Linked DNA regions of Bombyx mori. The protein of the gene in region 2 purifies or fractionates together with the protein of the main gene of each other region. This does not show direct contact. Links are inferred from orthologs where the notes say so. Each region holds a gene or a part of one and is shown on either strand. Other genes may lie near its edges.

Evidence for each region. The genes of interacting proteins can lie anywhere in the genome.
Region 1: the proteins of F-actin capping protein beta subunit (region 2) and CCR4-NOT transcription complex subunit 11 purify together in Homo sapiens (co-immunoprecipitation; 3 studies listed by BioGRID and IntAct, with this or other methods). This does not show direct contact. The link is inferred for Bombyx mori from reciprocal best matches to the Homo sapiens genes CAPZB and CNOT11.
Region 3: the proteins of F-actin capping protein beta subunit (region 2) and regulator of gene activity purify together in Homo sapiens (co-immunoprecipitation; 4 studies listed by BioGRID and IntAct, with this or other methods). This does not show direct contact. The link is inferred for Bombyx mori from reciprocal best matches to the Homo sapiens genes CAPZB and CNOT2.

The regions. Positions count from the first base shown.
Region 1 is NC_085125.1:1,941,234-1,949,141, forward strand, and holds the start of CCR4-NOT transcription complex subunit 11, read right to left. Parts: upstream 4,631-7,908; 5' UTR 4,132-4,630; coding exon 4,088-4,131; intron 4,012-4,087; coding exon 3,920-4,011; intron 3,093-3,919; coding exon 2,869-3,092; intron 2,681-2,868; coding exon 2,520-2,680; intron 1,490-2,519; coding exon 1,339-1,489; intron 491-1,338; coding exon 359-490; intron 1-358. UniProt on the Homo sapiens protein: Component of the CCR4-NOT complex which is one of the major cellular mRNA deadenylases and is linked to various cellular processes including bulk mRNA degradation, miRNA-mediated repression, translational repression during translational initiation and general transcription regulation.
Region 2 is NC_085109.1:2,864,326-2,872,256, reverse strand, and holds the start of F-actin capping protein beta subunit, read right to left. Parts: upstream 4,304-7,931; 5' UTR 4,156-4,303; coding exon 4,153-4,155; intron 4,030-4,152; coding exon 3,645-4,029; intron 2,825-3,644; coding exon 2,625-2,824; intron 2,105-2,624; coding exon 1,993-2,104; intron 1,194-1,992; exon of another isoform or gene 1,193-1,193; coding exon 1,065-1,192; 3' UTR 1-1,064. UniProt on the Homo sapiens protein: F-actin-capping proteins bind in a Ca(2+)-independent manner to the fast growing ends of actin filaments (barbed end) thereby blocking the exchange of subunits at these ends.
Region 3 is NC_085113.1:7,418,345-7,426,256, forward strand, and holds the start of regulator of gene activity, read right to left. Parts: upstream 4,631-7,912; 5' UTR 4,272-4,630; coding exon 4,221-4,271; intron 2,339-4,220; coding exon 2,057-2,338; intron 474-2,056; coding exon 290-473; intron 1-289. UniProt on the Homo sapiens protein: Component of the CCR4-NOT complex which is one of the major cellular mRNA deadenylases and is linked to various cellular processes including bulk mRNA degradation, miRNA-mediated repression, translational repression during translational initiation and general transcription regulation.

The DNA.
Region 1 (7,908 bases), on a different chromosome or scaffold from region 2:
TTTATACAATAAACTTTAAACAAACAAAAGGAATCCGTCCGACGGGGGACACATCAAAGCAAAAACAAAATTGTTTGTTTTTATTTAATTCTGAGCATTTTCATATTTATTTACCTTTCAAACCTTCTCTGGACTTCCACAAATAATTCAAGACCAAAATTAACCAAATCGGTCCAGCCGTTCTCGAGTTTTAGCGATACTAACGAACAGCAATTCATTTATATATAAAAATATATAGATATATAGATTAGACTAGAGAAAAATATATTGCGTATATATTGTGTATATTATGTATATAGATTGGATTTTTCAAGCACGAGGGCTTCACTGATCTTGCCACAGAAAACAATAACTTTACCTTGACTTTGTGCTGTTGGTTAGGCTGCGATCTTCTATCGATCTTCTCAGGTCGGAGCCCGATCAGTCCGTCGTAGTCGGAGTCATACATCGGTATATACGTGCCGCGATTTATTAAGTTCTTCCAAACGCCCTGTACAGAAAGCTAACAGTGAGTTGCGAGAATCTATATATTAATACGTGAAGCAAATACTTTGTACCCATTTTTATGAAAATTCCGCAGACGGAGAAGTATGAAATTTCCCACACTTATTGAGAATATAGAGAAGGAGTGCAGTATGTCATTTTTTTTAAATTATGCATAAGAAATACTTTAAATCAGTAAAAAAAAACATTACACACACTACCATGTATTTGACACACACACACACATTTATACTCTTTTGTTTATTGTTAAAGTCTGTGGTCAAATTGAGAATAGATTAATATTGTTCGTCTTTAATATTATTTATCTATAGTGTAGCCTTGGTGAAATTTGTTATTAAAAAAGTCTATGAAAGTCTTTGACAATAGTCCCTTAATAATGTTCAAACTTATAGTTTACGTTAATTATATTCAACTATCGAGCGACCACTAGTTATATTAGTTATATGATTTAAATTGTATAACATTAGCAATTCGTTATGAGCTTACACACAACAAACAAACAAACCAGTGATCATTTCTATAGATTGGTATATCGGTGGATATGAACGTCTAAAAATGCTCACAACTACAATCTCAAGAGTTTAGGTCATCAACTTTATTCCTGAATCGTTTTTGAGTTTGTCATAATGCCTATCCCTATAAAGCCGCTTTCAGACTACGTTATAATATAATAGCATATAGTATATAGCTCATACCACAACAATAATGTGCACCATGTATTGTTATGGACACATTCACATTGTACTGTACTATATATTATTGATTAAGTATACGCTGCTATACTGTATGGCACTATAGTATAGTGTAGTCTGAAAGCAGCGTAATGCTATTAACCTCGTCAGCAAAAGGCACATCATTGGTGTCGATGAGGAACGTGGGCGGTGGGATGGGTCCGGCGGCCGATAGCGTTCGGTGCAGCGGGAGATACTCATTACTCATCAAGGCTTCTAGCAGTTCTTTCAAGGCAAGGCGGTTCGGTGGACTCCTGGAAACATCATTTGAAAATTTTCATTCAAATTTTATAAACAATTTTAATGAAGGTTTAAGGAAATATACATGTTTTCTTATTGCTTAGATGGGTGGACGAGCTCACGGCCCACCTGGTGTTATGTGGTTACCAGAGCCAATAGACGTCTACAACGTAAATGCCGCCACCATCCTTGAGGCATTAGTTGTAAGGTCTCAGTTTTAATAGTACAACGGCTGCCCGGCCCTTCAAACCGAAATGCATTACTACTTCACGGCAGAAATAAGCAGGGCGGTGGTACCTACCCGTACAGACACATTAGACGTCCTACCGCCAGTAAATTGATTGTTTGTATTAAGTAATAAAATCGTGTTATAATGCTCCTATATTTTTAATGAAGCGGTCGGTACCACCATGTAATATTTTGAATTGAAAGTTCATGAGGTTGTAGAGGGCGAAAATCAACTTGTGATTACTAATAGGTTCCAGTAACACCTTAACTGGGCCAAGGCTCATGCAATAAAATAAAAACCTTTATCAGTCATAACTCAGTCAACTTTTTTTACTTTAAAATCGGCCTTAGCTCATAAGCAATACAATCCCAGAACGTTTTTATAGAAAACTGAATTTACATTACAATATCTCCAGATTTTACTAGGTTTAAATTAATCATGTCGTTTCCTTGCATTAAAACTATATAATCTCAAAACTTACTAATTTTATAGGAGAGTGTTTTAAAGGTTTATAAACATGTAATATTTTTAATACTAATCATCTTCGCAACTTTAATTTTTTATTTTTTACCAGTTACATTATCTGTCTTTTAAAGTAAGATAAAATTATGTATTAATTTAGTTAATAGTAGGCAAAACATAGGTAAACAACAAAAAATAAAAAACTACGCCCTTTTGACAGTATTTATGAGAAAAATACTGGTGATACCAAATGATTCCGCATATTAACTCAATTTCGAGTATTTTTGGAAATTGTACACTTTTAATGCGAAAAGACGATGTGTCTATATTTCATAATATATGTTAGGTCTTACCCATCACTAAGCGGTATCAATGCAGAACAAGTGGCCCGGGCCACAGCACTGGTGTCAGTCAAACGTTCGGCCACAATCGCCTGCAGCGGTGAGTAATCAAACTCCAGGTCCTTAGGAGATACTTCTGTCATCATTACTTGTTTTGCTGATTTTTTCATAACCTACAAATTCGGTAATAACTGATCATTTTTTTTGGTTACATCAGTAAATAGTAAAAACGAGTCTTAGTCTACTGTAAAATTCACGCATTGTCGCTTAGTCACACTTGCCTTCTAAGCGTCGATATATAGGATTTTATTTTAAATAAATTTAATATCATATATATCCAAAATCATAAAGTGAAACTCACATCTTTAATGTTTACAGGCAAGAATCCATGCAGCTGTCCTATAAACAGTCTCTCCTGTGGAGCTAGAGGCAGAAGACCCAGCTTCCCTTCTAGGAGATGCAAGAACAATGGGCTGAATGGGTTTTCTCCCTTGTAGAAGTCATATAGAAGAGCCAGTGCAACAACACGCTGCCCAGGGAGTGAAAGATCTCCGCCCGTAATCAGCGATGACAGGAGCAGACTTACTGAAATTAAATTTATATTCATATATAACTTTAATGATTGTTATTAAATAGATATCAATACAAAAGTTGTGTATGGATACTATCATTTGAAAATGAAGTATAATCCAGCAAACTCTAAATTGGGGATTTCCAAAAAGAGAAATTTATACATTTTATATTCCTGTTATGGTTTGTGAATATTTTCAACAACACATCTCAGGTGATATACTTCAAATTTTACCTGGGTAAGCATGTAACAGAGATGATAAATACCACAATAAGGTTCTGCTACCTAGTTGATGAGCTTTGAAATGTTTGGAGATGAAACAAGCTATCATTCACTAACAACCACAATTAATTACCATTATTTATTTATTTATTTATAACTTCTTATACTAGAAAGTATAAAGGCGGACTTAATGCCATAGGCATTCTCTAACAGTCTACCTTAGGGGAGTGCAGAGATGAAGCTTGGTAGGTGTATTATACAGCTGTACGGTGAAATGGACCACTTATTATCAACATTACATCTTATTAGGGTTTCTTAGTAGGGATATTGCTAATTTACAGTACAACAGTAGTTAACAGACACTAGTCTTGTACACAGATACCCATATCTTTAGGTTGATTTGAAAATGCTAATACATTATCATCCTGAATTTACCACCCTATCATTATTTTCATGTAAGCTACCTTGAAAGGACAAATCCTGTAAGTGTGGTGTGTAAACGTAATGTTGATAAGCACACGGCTAAACTTAAATTCCCAGGAATTTTAATCTTTAAATTTAAGTCAAGTCTCATAGTCCTGCCAGTGGAATTGATATTTAATAAAAATATATTACTCACGATTAAAATGATCGGTCTTCGGGAACTTTTTTTGAACTTGAACACATATTGAATCTAAGCCCTGCGAATCGACTGTCTGTTCGGAAAATAAACTAAAAAGAAAAAATAAATAACAATAACAACATAAACAACTTTGCAAGTTTAATTTCTCGTGGTGTTTTTACTTACTCGAGTATGTATTTACTGTTTTCATTAATCAGATGTTGAGACATTTTATTTATTTAACTAATACTTATCAAATAAATTTATACGCTTAGACGAAACACAAAATAATGAAAATAGAAGTTTTTTAGTAAAAGTCAAAACACAATTCGTTAACAATACAAAATTGCTTCATTAAGAAACAATTATACAAATTTTACAAGTTTATTTATAATTGGAGAATTAGGTACTGTTTGGTACTGTTGTATGTACACTTGATATATCATTTACGAAAACAGTATAACCTTACAAACTTACAACTTCTTTTAGGGCTTGTAGTTCATAAATAGTGTAGGTGTAGTTATATAGTATATTCTGTATATTGAAGGCATTAGCTGTTTAAATGTCTTATCTGTGGCATTAAGCTTAGCTCTACTGTAAGGATGTATAGCTCCTGAGTGAGTGATATAAAAGATATATATCACTCACACCGATAAAATGTATCACTAACACTGGCTCCAAATTATCAGTAACTCATTTATAGCTCACTAGATCACTAGCTCATGAAAGTATCGTGAATTGATGAGCGAACGAAAGAAAAAGGAATGAGTGAGATAGATGCATCGTGAGGCTGGCTGACGAGAATGACCGTTCACTTCACGCTAATTTCATTTCGACGTATTGGGTTGTCAAGGAAAAATGTACATTATTTCTCTAAGAGCAAAGCTTAACATAACTCTTGTATTTTTGAAACTAAATTTATACTTGCTTTATTTTCTTACACAAAAAGCTAGCCATTAATTTGCGAAGTTAATACATATTATGAATAACGCGATGCTTTATCAAAAAATATATTTTAAAAAGTCTCTTAATGTGTCTAGTTCTATGGTAAGCTGCATGTTGTAAATATTTAATGTTTTTTTAATACTTAGTTGGGTGGACGAGCTCACAGCCCACCTGGTGTTAAGTGGTTACTGGAGCCCATAAACATCTACAACGTAAATGCGCCACCCACCTTGAGATATAAGTTCTAAGGTCTCAGTATAGTTACAACGGCTGCCCCACCCTTCAAACCAAAACGCTGTACTGCTTCACGGCAGAAATACGCAGGGTCGTACCTACCCGTGCGAACTCACAAGAGGTCCTACCATCAATAAGTTTAATCATAAAACAGTGTAAATAAACTATATTTTCTATTACTTAGTGTATGAAAGGCCCTGACAGTTATATAATGAACTGACCATTGTAAATATTCCAATACAAAGTGAGTGATATATGTATACTGAGCTAAATAATCTAGGCTAAGAAATGAATTAATTGAGAGACCAATCTATTGAATTGAATCACTGGTCTAGTGAGCTAAATTAGTGATTTGTATCTTTAGCGCGAAATGATATGTATCTACCTTTTCAGCTCAGTGATACATTTTGCGCATGACTATTCTAGTTATTCTTCTTTTTCTTGTCTAGTTCCATTTTTTAAACTTGAAAGGCAAAGGTATCGTACGATAAAGCCTAATCTTTTATATATATATTTATATTTTTATGAAAAATGATTATGTTGTGAAATGAAATGAAGTTGATTAGTTTGAAACACTAATCAATTGGCACGAAAATAAATGAAATGAGATGAAATGATACGGGATGAAATATAATCTCAGTAAATGGTGGTTATTTATTAAAACTTTTTCAGTGGACTTTTTGGAGGATTCAGAGTAGCCACGTCCAGCGGCTTTTTGTTTAATATTCCCACTTTTGTGCACTTTCACAGGTACCAAACAGTTAATAAACCACCGCTATTAGCTTTTAGTTTAGTGTTTAATTTTTAACTTAGCTTATAATGATCCTACCGTAGATAAAGTGTAAACTTTAGAGACACTTAGAAGCACCGATTCGATTCGATCTATTGGGAACATCATTTTTCGTCAAATCGATTACCTATTCTATTAGAACACTATCTACAGTTGTTAGTTTAATATATCCTTTGTGGGACACCTGGTATGTGCAACCTCATGTTATGAGCCGTAACTTAAAGAAAGCCTTATATATGGGGCACCATTTTGGGGACCTAATAAATGACTCATCTGTACTCTTTGCCCGTCCAAACCTCAACCAGATGCGTGGATATATTATTTTTTTATGAATGAGGGATTGCTGGTGGCTCGGAGGCCTTTTCAACTTCATCAAGACAGGAGGGCGAGCAAAGACTTAGTCAAGAGAGGTAGGATTTGCTAAAAGCTGCCCAAGCACCTCCAAAGGAGACCTAACAACTCAAGAGTAGCTGCTTCGCAAATGAATTTATTACCGGATCGGAATCGCTCTAACGGGATAATAAATTGGTATGAAATTAAATGAAACAATGTAATGTAAGATATATATAAAAATAAATTGCTGTTCGTTAGTCTCGCTAAAACTCGAGAACTGTTGGACCGATTTGGCTAATTTTGGTCTTAAATTATTTGTGGCAGTCCAGAGAAGATTTAAAAGGTAGATAAATATGAAAATGCTGGAAATTAAATAAAAATAACAATTTTGTTTTTTCCTTAAAGTTTCCCCCGTAGGACTGATTCCTTTTGATTGTTTTAAGTTTGTTTTATACAAAAGTTTAGGTTTGAGGCACTACGAAGTCTGCCGGGTCAGCTCCTCCTCCTCCTTGCGCCGATAATCCTCAGTGCTGAGGGTCGTGGCCTCCTCTAATAACTTTCTCCTGCATTATCTTGCGCCATTCCTGCCTGTCCTCGGCTGTGTGGATAGCAACGTGGACTGAGGTATTGAGAGTGGAGCGTATTTGGTCCGACCAGCGCATTGGATTTCTGCCTCTGTGCCTTCTCCCGCATACCTTGCCGGGTCAGCTAGTCTAAGATAAAATAAAATCTTAGTAAAACAGTTACTCTTTACTGCGAGTTCGGTGGACTTTTTTTAGGAACCCTAGAATCCACGTCAAGAATCTTTGGTTTATTTTCCAACATTCGTGCATCTTCACAGATGCAAAAAAGTTAATAACCGTTATTAACCGTTTAAATCTGAAGAAACATCAAGAAACTTTAAAACAATTCAACTTGGCTCCTCGCGTTTCTACAATAAAGTCCTAGTACATTATTTATTTCACTATATAGATGGATTTACTCTAGAGCTCATTGGAAGAGCGAGATAGCTGTCGTTCTGTCGCAGACTCTTCGGCAAAAGATTGAGACTATAAATTAATGTTTCAAGGCAGATACCTGCAGGATGCATTTACGTTGTGATATCCACGGAAACCCCCACTATCAGCAGATCGGCAAGTCCCACATACCCCGCGCGCCCTCGTAGGAGGTTCGCCCACCGGCCCGAAAAAAAAACCAGGGAAGCTGGTAACCGTTTAACATCGAAGCAGTTTAGGATACGAAGTCACCTCTACGAATTGACTCTTACGTAACGTAACTTTATTGAAACTTCTGAGAAAGACCTCTAAAAAAGATATTTTGTGAGCTCCTCCGAGATCATATATTGCAAAAGGCTGGTCAGCGCTTTATAGATTAGAGGCTCAAAATAAATGTTGTTTCGATTTCAAATCGCGAGATGAACGTTCACATTCGGCGTTGCGTTGTGGTGTCTTTGTCCTATTAGTGAGCAAACGAGGTCACAGCTCATCTGGTGATAACAAGATATAAATTTAGATGGTTACCGCCACCCACCCACATTTTACACACGAGTCGACCTCATTTGCAAAGCGCTATGCAACAAAAGCGGCACGAGGAGGTCCGAAGACCAAGGTCAGAAAGAAAGAAAGAAGAAGAAAGAAACGCAGAAACGAAAGAAGTGACGCTTATTCGGCGTACGCGGGCTGTTGTTGATATGTTAATGATGGTT
Region 2 (7,931 bases):
TTATACATAAAAAATAAGCAGAAAAATTGCGGTTATTCCCATATAATATTGTGTGTTCATAGTGCGTAATGTAATTTTATAAATAATTTTAATCAATTAATTTATCATTAAAGTTGAAATTTAAACAAAAAAAATATATCGAGGGTTGCAAGACTATTATAACATATGTATATAAAGGTTTAAGCGACATTTCGAATTTCCATTATTAGCATCAAAAGACGATATTTTTAATCAAATTTCAATTAAGAAGAATTCGAACGCCATTGAAATAGCTGAAGTTTTTTTTTTTATTTTTTTTTTTTTAAGCCTTATTAGCTTCCTGTACAGTTGCAAAAATGTCGCTTCAACCAAATGACCTTTCACCCCTCGATATGTGTAATTGTTGTCAAATTGTGACAAGTGACAGTTTTACTGACGGTAGGCCTTGTGGGCCCGCACGGGTAGGTACCACCCTGCCTATTTCTACCGTGATACAGTAATGCAGTGGTCGTCGGAACTTATACCCTTGAGGCCGATATCTCAATCGACTGCGCCTTCGCAAGAAAATTTGAATATCGAAAAATTGGAAGAGAGAAAGAGAGAGAGTATTCTATATAGTACACAAAAAAAAAATTAAACAATGCGAAACATTAGATAAATAAAAAAGTACAATAGGCGGTCTTATCGCTAAGAGCGATCTCTTCCAGACAACCATCAGGTGGACCAAGTTGGTTTCTATCTTTTAATATTTATAATATTTTAGTACGAAAGGATTAAACATTGCAATTATATTGCAATTATATTGAATTATGTTGAATTTATGATTGATTTATATATTTAATTTATAAACTATTTTGGCAGAATAAATGTATTGGTTTTAGAAGTCAATTTATAAATAAATTAATTTATATAGATAGTAATTTATATTTTTGATTTATTAATAATTGTAGTTGGGATAATAATTTTAATTCTAGACGTTTTAATTGGGGTTGCTTTTTTAGGTTAAATTGTAAGTCTGTTCGTTCTAGAGTCTGTGGTCGGTGTCCGCACTCACGTGTGCCGAGCGGGGGGCGGGGGCGGCGCTCTCAGTCGTCGCGCTGCACGTGGCGGCGCTGCAGGGCGAGCGCGAGGTCGTGCTGCAGCGCGGCGGTGCGGCGCGCCACGTCCGCCGGGATCACTGACCTCAGCCCGCTCACTATATCTTTTGTTTTACCTACAAAACAAAATCATCACCTTCAGTGTCTTTTTTTATTTATTGCTTAGATGGGTGGACAAGCTCACAGCCCACCTGGTGTTAAGTGGTTACTGGATCCCATAGACATTTACAACGTAAATGCGCCACCCACCTTGAGATATAAGTTCTAAGGTCTCAGTATAGCTACAACGGCTGCCCCACTCTTCAAGCCGAAACGCATTACTGCTTCACGGCAGAAATAGGCGGGTGGTGCTACCTACCCGTGCGGACATACATGAGGTCCTACCACCAGTAATTACGCAAATTATATTTTTGCGGATTTGGTTTTTATTACACGATGTTATTCTTTCACCGTGGAAGTCGATCGTGAATATTTGTAAGTACATATTTAATTAGAAAAATTGGTAACCGCCTGCGGGATTCAAGCATCGGTGCATCGCTAGATATGAATGCACCGGACGTCTTATCCTTTAGGCCACAACGACTTCAAAGAGTCGCAGTCTTCGCAGAGTCCTTGACTACTTCGGTCACAGTGTAAAGAAGAATGGAAGCAACCTCGAAAGGCTCAATAAGTTGGGCCGACCAGATCCGCCCTGCCCATGGTCCGACATTTCACAACGCCCTCCACACCACCAGAAAAAGAAACAGGTGGAGAAAAATCTTACGAGAAGTAATGACATAGAAATAGTGCAATAGGGAAATAGTGCAACGAAGAATGAATTTTAAATTTGAAAGTGGCAATAACTTGTCTTTTAAATTTGAAAGTGGCAATAACTTGTCTGTTAAATATAAAGTAATTTAAAAGGAAAAATTGATACCAAAATAAATGTCGTTAAGTGTGTTTCTGATCTTATTTTCCATGTCTTCCACCATGCGCCCAATATTTGCAATGTGCGGAGTCACATCACTTACTGTCGAGTCTTGTTCTGCCTGAAATTCAAAAGATAATCTATAATATTAAAAATACGATATTATAATTTTAGAGTAAATGGATAGAATACAGAAAGTCTGAAAGAGGCACATGGGACAGAGAAGTTAAGAAGTGTGTATTTGGAATGATATGGACATGTAATAAGACGAAATGACAATGAGATTGTTAAGAGTTTTAACTGTGAATGTGCAAGGCTTTAGAGGGAGAGATAGACCTAAAAAAATTGGATGGATTGAGTGAAAGATGATATTATGTGTAAGAGGGGAGTAAAGAAGAAATAGTTTATGATAGAGGAGTATGGAAGGAGAAAACATGTTGCGCCGACCCCAGGTCACTGGGAGTAGGGCAAGAGAATGATAGTGATGATGATGGCATTATAATTTTATTAAGATTTGGGGATGCAGTACCAGAATGCAATTGTGAGGCTGCAATTGCATTGTTGTTGTTGCATAAATATAAAAATAGAACTCCTGCACAATATTATTAAGCTTTGTGCATATAAAATAAAACTAAATTTACCTGTCTAGTCAAACTGCCTCCAAGGTTCATCGTGCCGCTGCTTTCTTTATTAGTCTGAAGCCACAACATTGCAGTCGAGGTCAACTTGTAGTGAGCATTGCGTCCTGAACTCTTCTCGATCACCTCCACTACGTGGATTGAATCCCAGCATCCTTTGATCTTTTGGGAACCATCTCCAGCTTTCTTGATTAATATTACTCCTGAAATTGTTTTGTTTATTTTTGTATTTGTAATTATTATTTTTAAATATTTAAAGGTGGACTAAATAATGAAATATTAGTGTATAGATGAGTATTTTATACTATAAAATACTATTATATACACTAATATTTCATTAATCATTTCAAAGAATTAAAATAGAGTGTCAATGAAAATAATGAATGAAAAAGATGATGCAATTAAACATGAAGATTAATGTTTTATGTGAGAGATTATTTAACTAAAAGTATAAAAATATTACCAAATTAATATTATTTACTCTTTATTTAAAAGTAGTTTTTACACTTTATAGAGATCCATACCCAGTGGTGAAATGAAAGATAGCTTATATTTATTCTTAGAGCTCAAACTATTTCCACAGAATTTTGTAAAAATTGGCATACTGGTTTAGAGATGAAAACATAACATATAGACAGTTACTTTCATATTGTTAATGATATTTGTTATAGAACTTTTAAGATCAAAGAGTATAAAAGTAAATAATAAAAGTATTTAAAATTAACAATAACTTTCTAGCAAAATTAAATTTTATGAAACTCTTTATTGATCTCTAAATTAATATCTGTCTATATGAAAGCAAAGTGAAAATCCATTCAGAAATTCCAGAGAAGTGCTTCAACAAACAAACAGATTAATATAAAAGAACTAAAAATTGCTAGTTTCTGTTCTACTAGTCTTCTTTAGTTGCCCCCTAAAGTAATAAAAATACTATTATTACTTTTCTGTAATGCACAGCCACCCTGGAATTTACTGTTCTAATACATGTCTTTAATTTACAGAGACTAAATTAAGAGTGCTCACCTGCAAAGCCATGATCCATATCCCAAAGGTAGACTGAGCTAACGCCACCTTCAAAGTACATCTCTCGATATTGATCAAAGGCGAGGTTGGCATCTATTTCTAGTTTTCTCAAGCGTTCAGAGGGCATGGAGCCATCATCTAATGGTGGGTCGTAAGTATTCGACCAAGGAGACCTATAGGAGTCACCGTCGCGATTGTAATCGCATAATAAATAGTCTTTCCCGTTGCTACGATCCTGAGCAATCTTTAGAGGCTGATCTACTGATGATAATAGGTCGTCACACATACTCGGAACGAGATCTATCAAATCTGTTAAATTCTTTTCGATCTGCTGAGGGGGCAGCCTCCGCATCAAGTCCAGTGCACAATCCATTTGTTGGTCACTCTGTAACAAAATATATATGCACGATTTTAGTATAAATACTTCTTAATTTCCTTGCATTAGTCATCACAACAAATAGCTTGTTATGATGTATGCCAGGTCACTGAAACTGGAAAGACAACTTACCATATTGAAGTTTTATTATTCGGATTAACAATTAATAACAAAATAACCAAAGTAGTATAATTATTTCATTAAATTAATAACTACAAGTTTTAAAAGTCCCAACCCGAAAATGATAACTTGACGTAATTTGACACTTGAAGTTTAGTAAAGTACCTGCATATGTAGTGGTAGTTATATTTTTTTCACTAGAAAGGCGAAGGGATTAACTTAATCATTTTAAAGTCATTTAACCTAATCTTTTGCATATTCTGTTTTATAAAAATAATATAAAGTAATTCATTTCGCTCTATATCGGGTGGTGAGTAGCTATTTAGTTTAAGCGACATTTCAATTAATACGCGACATTTATCTTTATAATTAAAGGTGCATTTTATTTTGTATCATATCAACATATCGATGTTTTTAATTGAGCTTCAATTAAGTTTACCACATTCAAATAGCTGAAGAGGTTTCTTTATGATATTTTTTTTCAAATTTTAAACATAAAATGGCTCTCGTGTAAGGTTGCAAAAATTTCGTTTAAACCAACAGCCTTTCATCCCTAGGTATCATGGATAGTTTTCCAATAACAGCACTAGAGCGCATTATGCGGCATAATGCTCAACGTTGAATGTTCCAACTACAGCAACGCTTCGCACAATCGAGCACTCTCAAAAGTACTGCCTGTCATCAGAGATTTTATTAATGGCTCAAATAACTCATCTGTTTCATTATCATAAATATTTTCAATAAATATATCACTTGATAATGAAATAATTGATTGATTTAAACTCGGAGCACTCGATAAATTATCGTCATCACTGTCATCTGGATAAGATGATTCAATTAAAAAGTATACACATCATTTTCTTAGAACTCATTTAAAAAATACTCAAAACGAAAAAAAATGTTAATGAAATAATCGAAATCCAAATTACTTAAAATAACCGTAAATAGTTTTCAACCAATTATTATTGTTTACCACATTATTTATACATTAATGAGGTTGCTAGCTCCGTAAATATTTTTTTTTCAACACTGAACAACAGCGCACTCTGCTGATGCATTTGAAAACTAATTCACGTTCCAATTAAGCTTCAGCATAATTCGGCATTGTGTGCCACTGAGTCGTATTATGCTCTGTAATTGGGAAACTACCATGAAGTTGATTAATTTGGAACATTAATCAATAGGAGTGAACTTAAATCAAACGAAATGGTATGGGATTAAAAAACAGTCTCAAAAACGTAGTGGTTATTTATTGCGAAACTTTGTCCAGATATCTTGTTCATTTTCTCAATTTATGCATTTTTGCAGATATTAAACAGTTAATAAACAACCATTAACACACATTTAGGACTGAATAAACACTACATTAACAAAGTAAAAGAATTCACACAACTTTGCTTCTTGAATTACCGCCAAAAAGTCTATACATAGTTTATGTATACGAGGGCGGCACTGAAAATTTCGGGAATTAACGAAGTGATACAACATTACTATGTAAAAATGTATTTATTGCTTTTTGAAGTATTCTCCGCGAAATTTGACACATTTTTCCATACGATGGAACCAATAATTGATGCAACCATTCCATTCGGAAGTTGGGGTCTCCAAAATGGCCGTTTTGTAGGCGTCCACAGCTTCTTCAGGTGATGAAAATCTCTGTCCACGCAATTTATTCTTTATTTTAGGGAAAATATAGAAATCATTAGGGCTTAGGTCGGGGCTGTACGGCGGATGGTCTAATAATTCTATGTTTTCTTGCTCTAAAAACTCTTTTGTTCTGTGCGCGGTGTGAGAACTCGCATTGTCGTGATGGAGGATGATGCGGCGGTTGCAGTTCTCTTTACGGAGTTCAGAAACGACCTATGGCAAACAAATGCTAGCATACCATTCTGCATTAACCGTTATTTGTCCCTCAAGAGGAATAGTCGTAACATGGCCGGTTTTTTGGACACAAAGTGGCCACAATTTTTTTGCAACACTCCGTGAACGAACAATTTTTGTTGTCTTTAACTCATTTTCGAACACCCAAACTCGTGACTGGTTTTTTGTTTCGGGTTCGTACGCGTATATCCAGGATTCGTCACCTGATACAATGTTGTATACAGCATTTGTGGATCCTGTGTGGAATCTTTCGAGAGTTCTGACGCACCAAGTAACGCGAGCCGCTTTTCGCTCTTCACAGAGCGAATACGGTATCCATCGGGAAAACAACTTTTTTACACCTAATTGTTCATGCAAGATTATTTGTATTTGACTCATGCCAATGTCTAAAGTTGCCTGAATTTCGCGGTATGTCACATGTCGATTTTCCTCAATCAGCTTACGCACAGCATCAACGTTTTCTTGGGTGACTGCAGTTTTTGGACGACCTTGACGGGGATCATCACTGAGCTTGACACGTCCACGTTGAAACTCAGCAAACCAGTGATAAATTGTGGTTTTGGATGGGGCTTCATCACCAGATGCAGAAATCATCCGGTCAACACACTGTTTTTGTGTTAAACCACTTCGAAAGTCATAATAAATCATCGCTCTTGAATTTTCTCGAGTCAATTCCATTTTCTCAACGACTAAACAAGTTTGACAAAACCTCGTGACAAGACCGAGATTCTTTTTTTAAATAAATAAATGGTACCGTAAAATGGGGCGATTAGGGATTGAGAGGCGAATCGGGAAAAAACCGGGAAAATCTTTCGACGCTCAATATTAGTTTCATATTCGTTGCAAAATCTTCCATTTTTTGTAGTTTAATAGTAGAATGTTGAAAGTTTACAAAACGACTCTGAATATGCATGATAATAGCTGCTAACTTATAAAAAATCGCGTTTCAAATTAACGTTCTGTGGTGGTAATTATTTTAGTGCTAGAAACTTTGCTCTCTTTTATTTATTTGATAATAATAGAAGACGACTGTGATTTATAAACGTTATTTAGTGTTTGAACCATCATATATATTAAAGGTAAGTCTCAGTTGTTATTGGTTTTAATGTATGTGATAAAATAAAAATACATGTAAAAATCTGTTGTTTTGGGGATATTAGAGACGTCTTAGGTACAAATAACAACGAAAAAGGGGTCAATTGGAATGAGAGTACGTGAAATGGAAACGACCTAAGTATAAATAGGTACAGGTTTGTAGGGTTGTCTATGTAGTTATAACAATTTTTTTTTTAATTTGGTGGTAAAAATTTGGCTTATTCATGATGTTTTTGTCTAGAACTTTTATTTAAAATTATCAATGTGTTATTTTATTGTTTGGTAAATATTTATATTATCAGTTACGTATTGTTTTCTATTTTTAGATAAGCCCACTCGTTCAAATTTAGGTGCTTACTCTCCCATATACAGAATCCTTTGGGACAACAATAATGTCCACGGTAGCGTGATCTCCGTCAAAGTTCATTCGGAGTTGTTCGATTGCGTTGAACTAATTTTAAGTGTTGAAATAGATGTTTTTTTTAATTGTCTCACAACGTACACGAAAAGTCTGTCGCGGATCATTTCCCAAGTAAATATAAATTAATAAGTAAATAAATGTAATCAAGTTTTAGTTATATCTATATATGAGTCAACTATTATCAAAGCCGGCAATCTGACTTTTGGACAATGATTGGTATATCAGAAAAACGAATTATTGACTTTGTATTCCGTTGGCAGTCACAAAACTCTTCGGAACGACATCTTAGATAAATAACAGGTTAACTATTAACCTTTATTTAATGCAGGTTTTGAACCGTATTCTTTGAAGGAGACGATTATATTCAAATCAATCTGTACTGACATATCAATAA
Region 3 (7,912 bases), on a different chromosome or scaffold from region 2:
TTTAAAATTTTACTTTTACACATATTGTGGGCTAAAGTCACACGGACACGTTGCGAGTGCCATGTGAGCTACTGAGTACCCAGAATATTCAACATCATCATGTTCCATATCGGTTTTCTAGATTAAAAGTTGAGGTTTCTAACTCTCACTCTAAAAAAAATTTTGGTGATGTTTTATTATGACGTCTATGTGCTGTATCGTTATTGTCTTAGAGTAATGATGTTGAAAGTTACATTTTGTGAATTTTCTTTTGACTTCCTTTTATAATCTATGAAGTGTGTTTGCTCACCATAGGGTTTAGAGCCCGGAGGTGGTGGTGCTGTAGTGGGTGCTTGGTCACCCGCGCCTCTTGCTGTTAGTGATGGAAATTCGCTTAGGTCCAGAAGTGGTGGTGTTGATGTGTCACCACCTTCACCAAAAACTGAATGGTAGTTGTTGCCAGCGTTGAACCGTGACAGATTACTCATACTCGACTGTAGAAACAAAATATACCCTTTAGTCTCATTTTTAAACATCTATTCTAAAATGAAATATATATAATAAATAACTAAATTTGTATAAAAAGTAGGTAAATGTGTTTTATGATCAAAGCATAGGCCGAATAAATATTCAAAATTTAGGTTTAAAGTAACTATTAAAATTAAAATCCTTAACAATAAACAGCACATAGACAAAAAATTCTCAAATTTGCATATTAATAATTAGATAGTGTGTACTGCAGTTTCTACAAGTCTTAGACACAATAAGTACTTAGTTAGTTTTTTCTTAATAGTTTAATCTTAGATTTATTATTTCCAAACTTCAAACTTTTCTTTGGTGTTATTCAATAACATTTGAAAATTATGCTAACATTCACTCATCATTAAATTTTTATCACTTATGTTTGATTGCTAAAACTAAAATAAATTTACACTTAGCCCAGCAGGCAAGTTTTATAGATTTATATAAATTGTGTTCCCCTAATAAAATTATAAGTAACAATGAAGTTATTTGATTTAAAAAAAGGTTGTAGCTTCATTTTAATCATTACAAAGTGACTGTAATGCTTTTTATAAAATCAGAAAGAGTCAGGTAGATAGTGACATTTCATTCTTTACTAACAAAATAATTAAAACAAGAACTGCAGAACTAAAGTTAAGTCTAACTTAACTAAAGACAAGCTCTACCAAAACTAAAACATGTTCTAGATCTTCATAAAAATTGTCTTAATATCAATGTAAAATAAAATTTGTTGACTGGTAATTAAGATCTTAAGACAATAGATAACGAAAGCAATCAGACCTCTAAAATATTGTATTAGGAAAATAATAAGGTATTGGTAGAGAAGTTTGTTTTTCTACTTCACCAAAGATGTGACCACCCTTGTAATAATGGCAATAATGTCAGTTTGCCTGATTCCACATCTTTTAAAAATAGCTGGGGCTAATTAGATATATTATAATAAAAACTAGACATTTGTCTGAGATGAACTCCAGAACTATGTAATCAATTTATGACTTTTTTTTCACAAAAATGTGCTTTATTACAATTTTAAAGATATGACAGCTTTTATTTCAATATATAATAACAATATTTTTTGTTGCTAATTAATTATTTGTGTAATTTTCAACAAAGGAATATATCGACGCTTGAAAGGTAAACGTGACTAAGCGACAATGCGTGAACTTTACAGTAGACTAATTTAAAGTTGAAATACCTGAGAAAAATTATATTTTAACAAATCTAGCTGTAGGATTGAAATAATTTTAATATACCTAGAAATATATTTGTTTTTCCAGATCGAATATGGTTATTGCCTACCATTTATGTACAAAGCAGTTATTGTCACTTAGTCACGTTTGCCTTTCAAGTGTCTATATACTCTTTGACCTCCTTAGGTTTCTAACAGATGGTGGTGTAAGTTAGCTGACATGATGATTTACTTCAAGGTATGTCTGAATTTAAAGTCTAAGCATTTCATTTATTTAAGTAAAGTTCATTGATATTTATATTTATCAGCAGAAAACACTAATTTGATTTTTAGCCATATACACAATTAATATTTTAAAATACTTACCATTGAATTAGAATTAGCTTGAGATAAAGTTGTTGGCATTGTAACCCTTCGGTCTGCAAAAGCTCGTTGACCAAACAACGTAGCTCTAGATGCCATTGATGGGGGAGCTCCGCCTGGCATTGCAGTTGAATTACGGCCAGGCGACAAGGCGCCCCCAAAAGTTGGTGTCACATGTCCTGAGACACTACCAACAAGACCTGAGCTCACTCTGCCTCCAACGCCACCAACTCCGCCACTAGCTAGGCTTCGAGGCACTTGTTGAAAATTCAAGTTTGCCATAACCTAAAAAAATAAGCCTTTTTACAATATGATATAATTATTGTAGGTAACATTGCCCTAAGCACGTCATTACGGATCTCCCGATCTATAAACGGTGCTTTTAGGTACCTTAAGCACCGGCCACCGTCCTCTCTGAACCTGCACAACCCACTGCTTGTGGCGAAGGGCTCAACGAGTAAATTAACCAATAAACACAGCCCACTGAGTTTCTAGTTGGATCTTCTCAGTGGAAGCTGAAATATCTCCCTCTGCTAGCCTCTCAAGGCTATCAGCATAGGTAGGGGAAAAGGATAACATCTTTATGCTACATTTACCGGAAACCTGACTTGTGCCTAGTGAATGCTTAGATTTAATTTAGTTTTGATCTAAAACATAAAACGTTTCTTAAGCAAAAATACCCATCTACTTGGTAAAAGTTCCTCTTAATAATATATAATAGATAAATGACTACACACAATGGACTATAATCATGTAGTGGACATATTTAATAATTTTACAGAGGTATTGTCAAGGAAGTGTGAGACGAAGTTGATGTAGAATAAAATTTATTCAGATTCATGCCTATTTCATTTACAATTTCAAATATTTAAATCGTGTTCCAATTTTATAAGCAGATATAATTTTTATTGCTCTTACATTATCAGTATCTGGTTCGTATTGTGATTTTAGAGTTCATTTATAAGAATAATTTTCACAATTTAAGTATTTTGCACAAGTAATTACAGTATGTTGACACAATGGTTATATTAAACGGAAAAGCAGTTAAATTCTGTGCCAATATGTGCAGAACCTCTGAATACAATGTTTGTTGTAAATCAGAAAATTTGTTATCAAGTTTGAGACAAAAGAGATCAATTTTGTGTGACTCAACTCTATGGAATATGGGCTATAAATATATAATATAAATAAAACTAATATTTAAATCATGGAGTAATCGGTTGTAAAGTAGTTGGAAATGTGAAAGAGAAAGTAGAAGGAATACTTAACTATATATGGAATTGCATGCTGCTTATTATTAATTTAAACTTTGGTTAAGTGTATGCATGACGTATGAGAGAGATGATAGTTGAAGAGCATCACAAAACTGTTTTCAGTTGAGCATATTATACAGTAGAGAGGATATGGAGAATGTATTAAAGATCAGTAAATGGCTTAGTTGCCCCTGTCAAACAATGGCGACAATTTTTGTTGTGATGTTGTTGGGCTCACTTTGAGAACGTTGTCAATATTTACCTATTATCAGTCCTTGTTCAACTATTTTATAAAGAATAAGAATGGTTCATAATCGCGTATACTCTGCCAAGATAAATATTTCCGCTTCGATGTAATAAACAAGATTTGTTGACTGTCCAATTTTGATGTTTTTTGTGCATTCAAAATTTTAAACACCAATATAAATGGTACATAAAACTGTCTTCGCGTAAAACGCTGCTATAAAACACTGTAAACTTGATACATCTTTACGTCACTGATAAATGTTTTAAAATTTTCATACGATTTCGCTGAACGCCACATTACCCTAAACAACAGGCGGCCATATTGTTAAAAGGTTGAAGAAGCAGACGGAAATTATCAAAAAGCTTCAAAACCAGGCCGTATGAATTAGTTTGTTAAAAAATAAAAATAGTTTTGACAATTTTATTAAATAGTTTAAATAGTATAAATCGTTTTGTCTCTTTATTATAGATCTGTCATTTAAAATTTATACTAATATTTTTAAGAATTTACAATAAAATTATTTAATTTACATTACTATACTACCCATACTAGTGCAATCCGTAGCATCGTTACTGTACATAAACCTGTAATACTGTACATAATACTGTGCTTAAACGTGTATTTGAGAGTTTTATAAGACTCTACAGCATAACTATAAGTAGCAAACCTGATCTTCATGAGTTTGGCTACTGTGCCTCGTAGAACTTCGTTTCTTCATTTCTTATCTTTGTTCAGAATTACTTTAAAAAATCTCTAAATTAGGATTAAAACAATTATTTTTTAACTTAAAGCCTTATTTTTTAAATAATCTAAACTTCACAACCATTATTTGAAAATTATAAACTACCCACCTCCCTTGTCTAAAACTAAACTATTCCTGCAAAGTGCCGGAAGCTTGGTGGATCATTCATCTTTCCTAATGATTCCGATAGGTGAACAGATGAATGGATCGGACGGTCTCATTATAATAAAACCCAACCAAAAAATATTTTAAACATAACTGAAAACGAGTTCGAGTCAGACATCTATTATCTTCCCTGAGGTGTTTTCTGTATCACTGTGAATACAACATTTCCGGCAGATTGGATGGCGTCTGAAAGCAATCTACGCACACATTACGTAGACTACAATCTAATGAAATTTAACTAGGTATATATAGCAAATATTTGATTCTTCGTCCTTTTCTAAATCTTACATTAGAAAATGAAAATTTTAAACAAGGAAAATGTATACGGTGTATAAGATTCAGATCTTCACGAATACTTGGATTTAGAAGCGATTCGTTAATATTTGAAGAGAACATCAGAACCTTTCTTTGAGGAAGCTGCACGGCGTAATAGCCCTCTTATCGTAGCCGCCGTAAATTACATTCCCGACCTATATGATGACAACGAACAATCGTCGTTGCCTTATTCGATCCAGGCCTTCGGCCTTCTTCAACCCAGTCTCAAGTACCCTCCACTAGCGTCGTAAAATCGAAGCTTAACTGAGAGTACTGAACCCCTATGACACTCACTGAGTTTCTCATTGAATCTTGATTCTTAACTGGTAGTAGATTCAGCGAAGCCAGAGCAGTGTTAACAATTTCTTTCAGGTAGAGGTCTGTGAGCTCGCCCACCACTGGCGTTGGTACAGATGGGTAGAAAATCGTTAAAAATACATTTTACCTAGTTCAAATTCACAATTTACAACAGCAGTTAAATTGTGGATTTCATTTCAAAACATTAACGAAAATATTTAAGGATCGGGTGCACATTGCTGTTATTGCAGATTTAACAAAGTTTCGACAACGGTCAGAAGACGGTCCTTCGGTGTGCTTAGTGCAAGTTTTTTAACTTCTCAATTGCGTAAAAGATCTCAAATTTGTATGTAGTGGAAACAGTGCCTCTGGCGGCAAACATGGGAACGCTATCTGATTCCAAAAATTTTATAATAGCTAAAAAAAGTTTATTATATCTTATTTACATAAATAGAACAAAATCAAAAAGTTTTTCTGCGTGCTTTATGACTAGCGACCAGAATACGGCCTCTGCCGACCTAGTTCTTATATCCTTTTCACTTACCGACATCGAGCAAAGAAGGATCGAGATGTATATATTGATTCATATTCTGAATATTTCAGAAAAAATTGTCTATGTCTGATCAATACTTTTTGGCAACACTAAGATCATATGATTGTTCAATAAAGAAGCACGTCTGATAGGCGTAGACTTCTTTCCCCGAGCCAGTCATTAATTTTCTGGCTCTATATCGGCCGTTTTTCGTGTTAGTGGTGTTAAAAATAAGCAGCAGCCATGGCGCTCAGCGATGCAGATGTTCAGAAACAGGTATTTGTTATAAACAAAACTGATTTATCTACAAAATCAAGTATTTTAAGGATTATATGTCACGATCATTGATCGGGATGTGCCATTGTAATTTCGACAACTCATAAGACTGCCTCGACTGGACTTCATGTTTTTGAGCATTATACTCCGTATTTTTGATCAGAATGTTTATATTTTTCAATTCAGATCAAGCACATGATGGCCTTCATCGAACAAGAGGCCAACGAAAAGGCCGAAGAAATCGATGCGAAGGCCGAGGAGGAGTTCAACATCGAAAAGGGCCGTCTTGTCCAGCAGCAACGTCTCAAGATTATGGAATACTATGAAAAGAAGGAGAAGCAGGTTGAACTTCAGAAGAAGATGTAGGTTTCCGTAAAACTAACATACAACCTTATGCATACTCAAAGAACATACGAACGAACAATCATGTGACCAAGCAGTATTGATTACGACTATTACGATTTCTCAAATTGAACATTCAATATGTATTAGGTGTTACAATAGAAAAGTCACAAAATTTCAAACAGAATAGAATTATCAAATAATCTAAAAAATTAGAAATTACGAATAGTAAAAATGAAACAATAATGAGATTTAATGTGACTTTTTATAGAGTAACTAATACATAATAATATAATGTAAATGACATTTTTGATTGACATGGGTGATCGTGACCACTAGCTATCAATCTCTTCATGCAGAGCCTTAAACAGTAAAAAAGAAGCATCACTTTAAAAACATAAAATATTGTGATGCAATTACATTTAAATAAAATCATCAATGAAAAGATGAAAAAAATTCAATTAATTCTATCCAGTATAACTAGTAGTTATAAAATTTAGACAACCACATTTAGAGAAAAACTTCACATTCAAGTTTTACATTGGTTGTGTGAATTGATTATAAAAGTGATAAATGGGATGGAATAATAAAATATAATTATTTAGATAAACATGATATCTTTTCAGAACACTAACACTTTGACATTCTTGTTCTGGGAATGACTTCATTATAAATGAAGATTTAATTATAATTCAAAATAATCTACAGTAGAGTTCAGAATATTTGTTTAAAAAAAATTGAAATGGGCAGATATAATTTCTTTTTAGGTTAAAAATCCATGCAATGTACTTAATAGTATTTATATCACTGAATGGATGATAAGGTCATTACACAAACTCACTATCTTGATAGATAGTTCTGATAAGAAAATCTTAGAAACACTTTTAACATAGCATTTTTTGTCTTAAAATTTAATGTTCTAAACATTTGTCTATGATAATAATGAGTAAAAACAAGAAACAAAATTAAAATTTGAAAAAAATACCAAATTAAAAAATTACTAAAAACCAAAGTCATTAGACTTGCGCAAAACATCACTTCTCAATGTAATGTGATATGACATCACTTTTACAGACAGGTGATATTACTCGAAAACATTACACATCACTCTTAACATTACTCGGTGCGTTCAATAGATACTGTGACGAATACATTGTATCTATACACCCGAATCATTACTTAAGTGATGTGTTCATACTTTGTATTGTAATACACTGTTATATTACTTGACAGAGATTGACTTATTTAATAATATAATAATTTTATTTTTTACTTAATATAATTTGATTTAGTATTTGATATATTAAATTCAGACGTACCATAGGTATAAAAACGTACCTAGCGGCCAGGGCATACGGTTCAAAATCACTAGGAATAATTCCGTGTCGCTTGCTCATTTATTTTGCGTAGATCGGTCTGTCTCGCTCGCTCGGTTCCGTTCGTGTATCAAGCAACATTACACGACAAAGAAAGAAACATGTTGGGTGATAGCTTCGCTAGAAGTAATAGTGTTCTGTGGGTGATAGTGTGATGTTTGTTTCCTTCGCGTAATGTGTGATGTTGCATTACATCGTAGAGTAATATTACCGGAGTAATATCACTCGCATTACTTACACATGTCTAAAAGTCATGTTTCTATTGATAATTTTTCTTTATTTATTTACTGTAAAGTATACTACTATAAAGTATG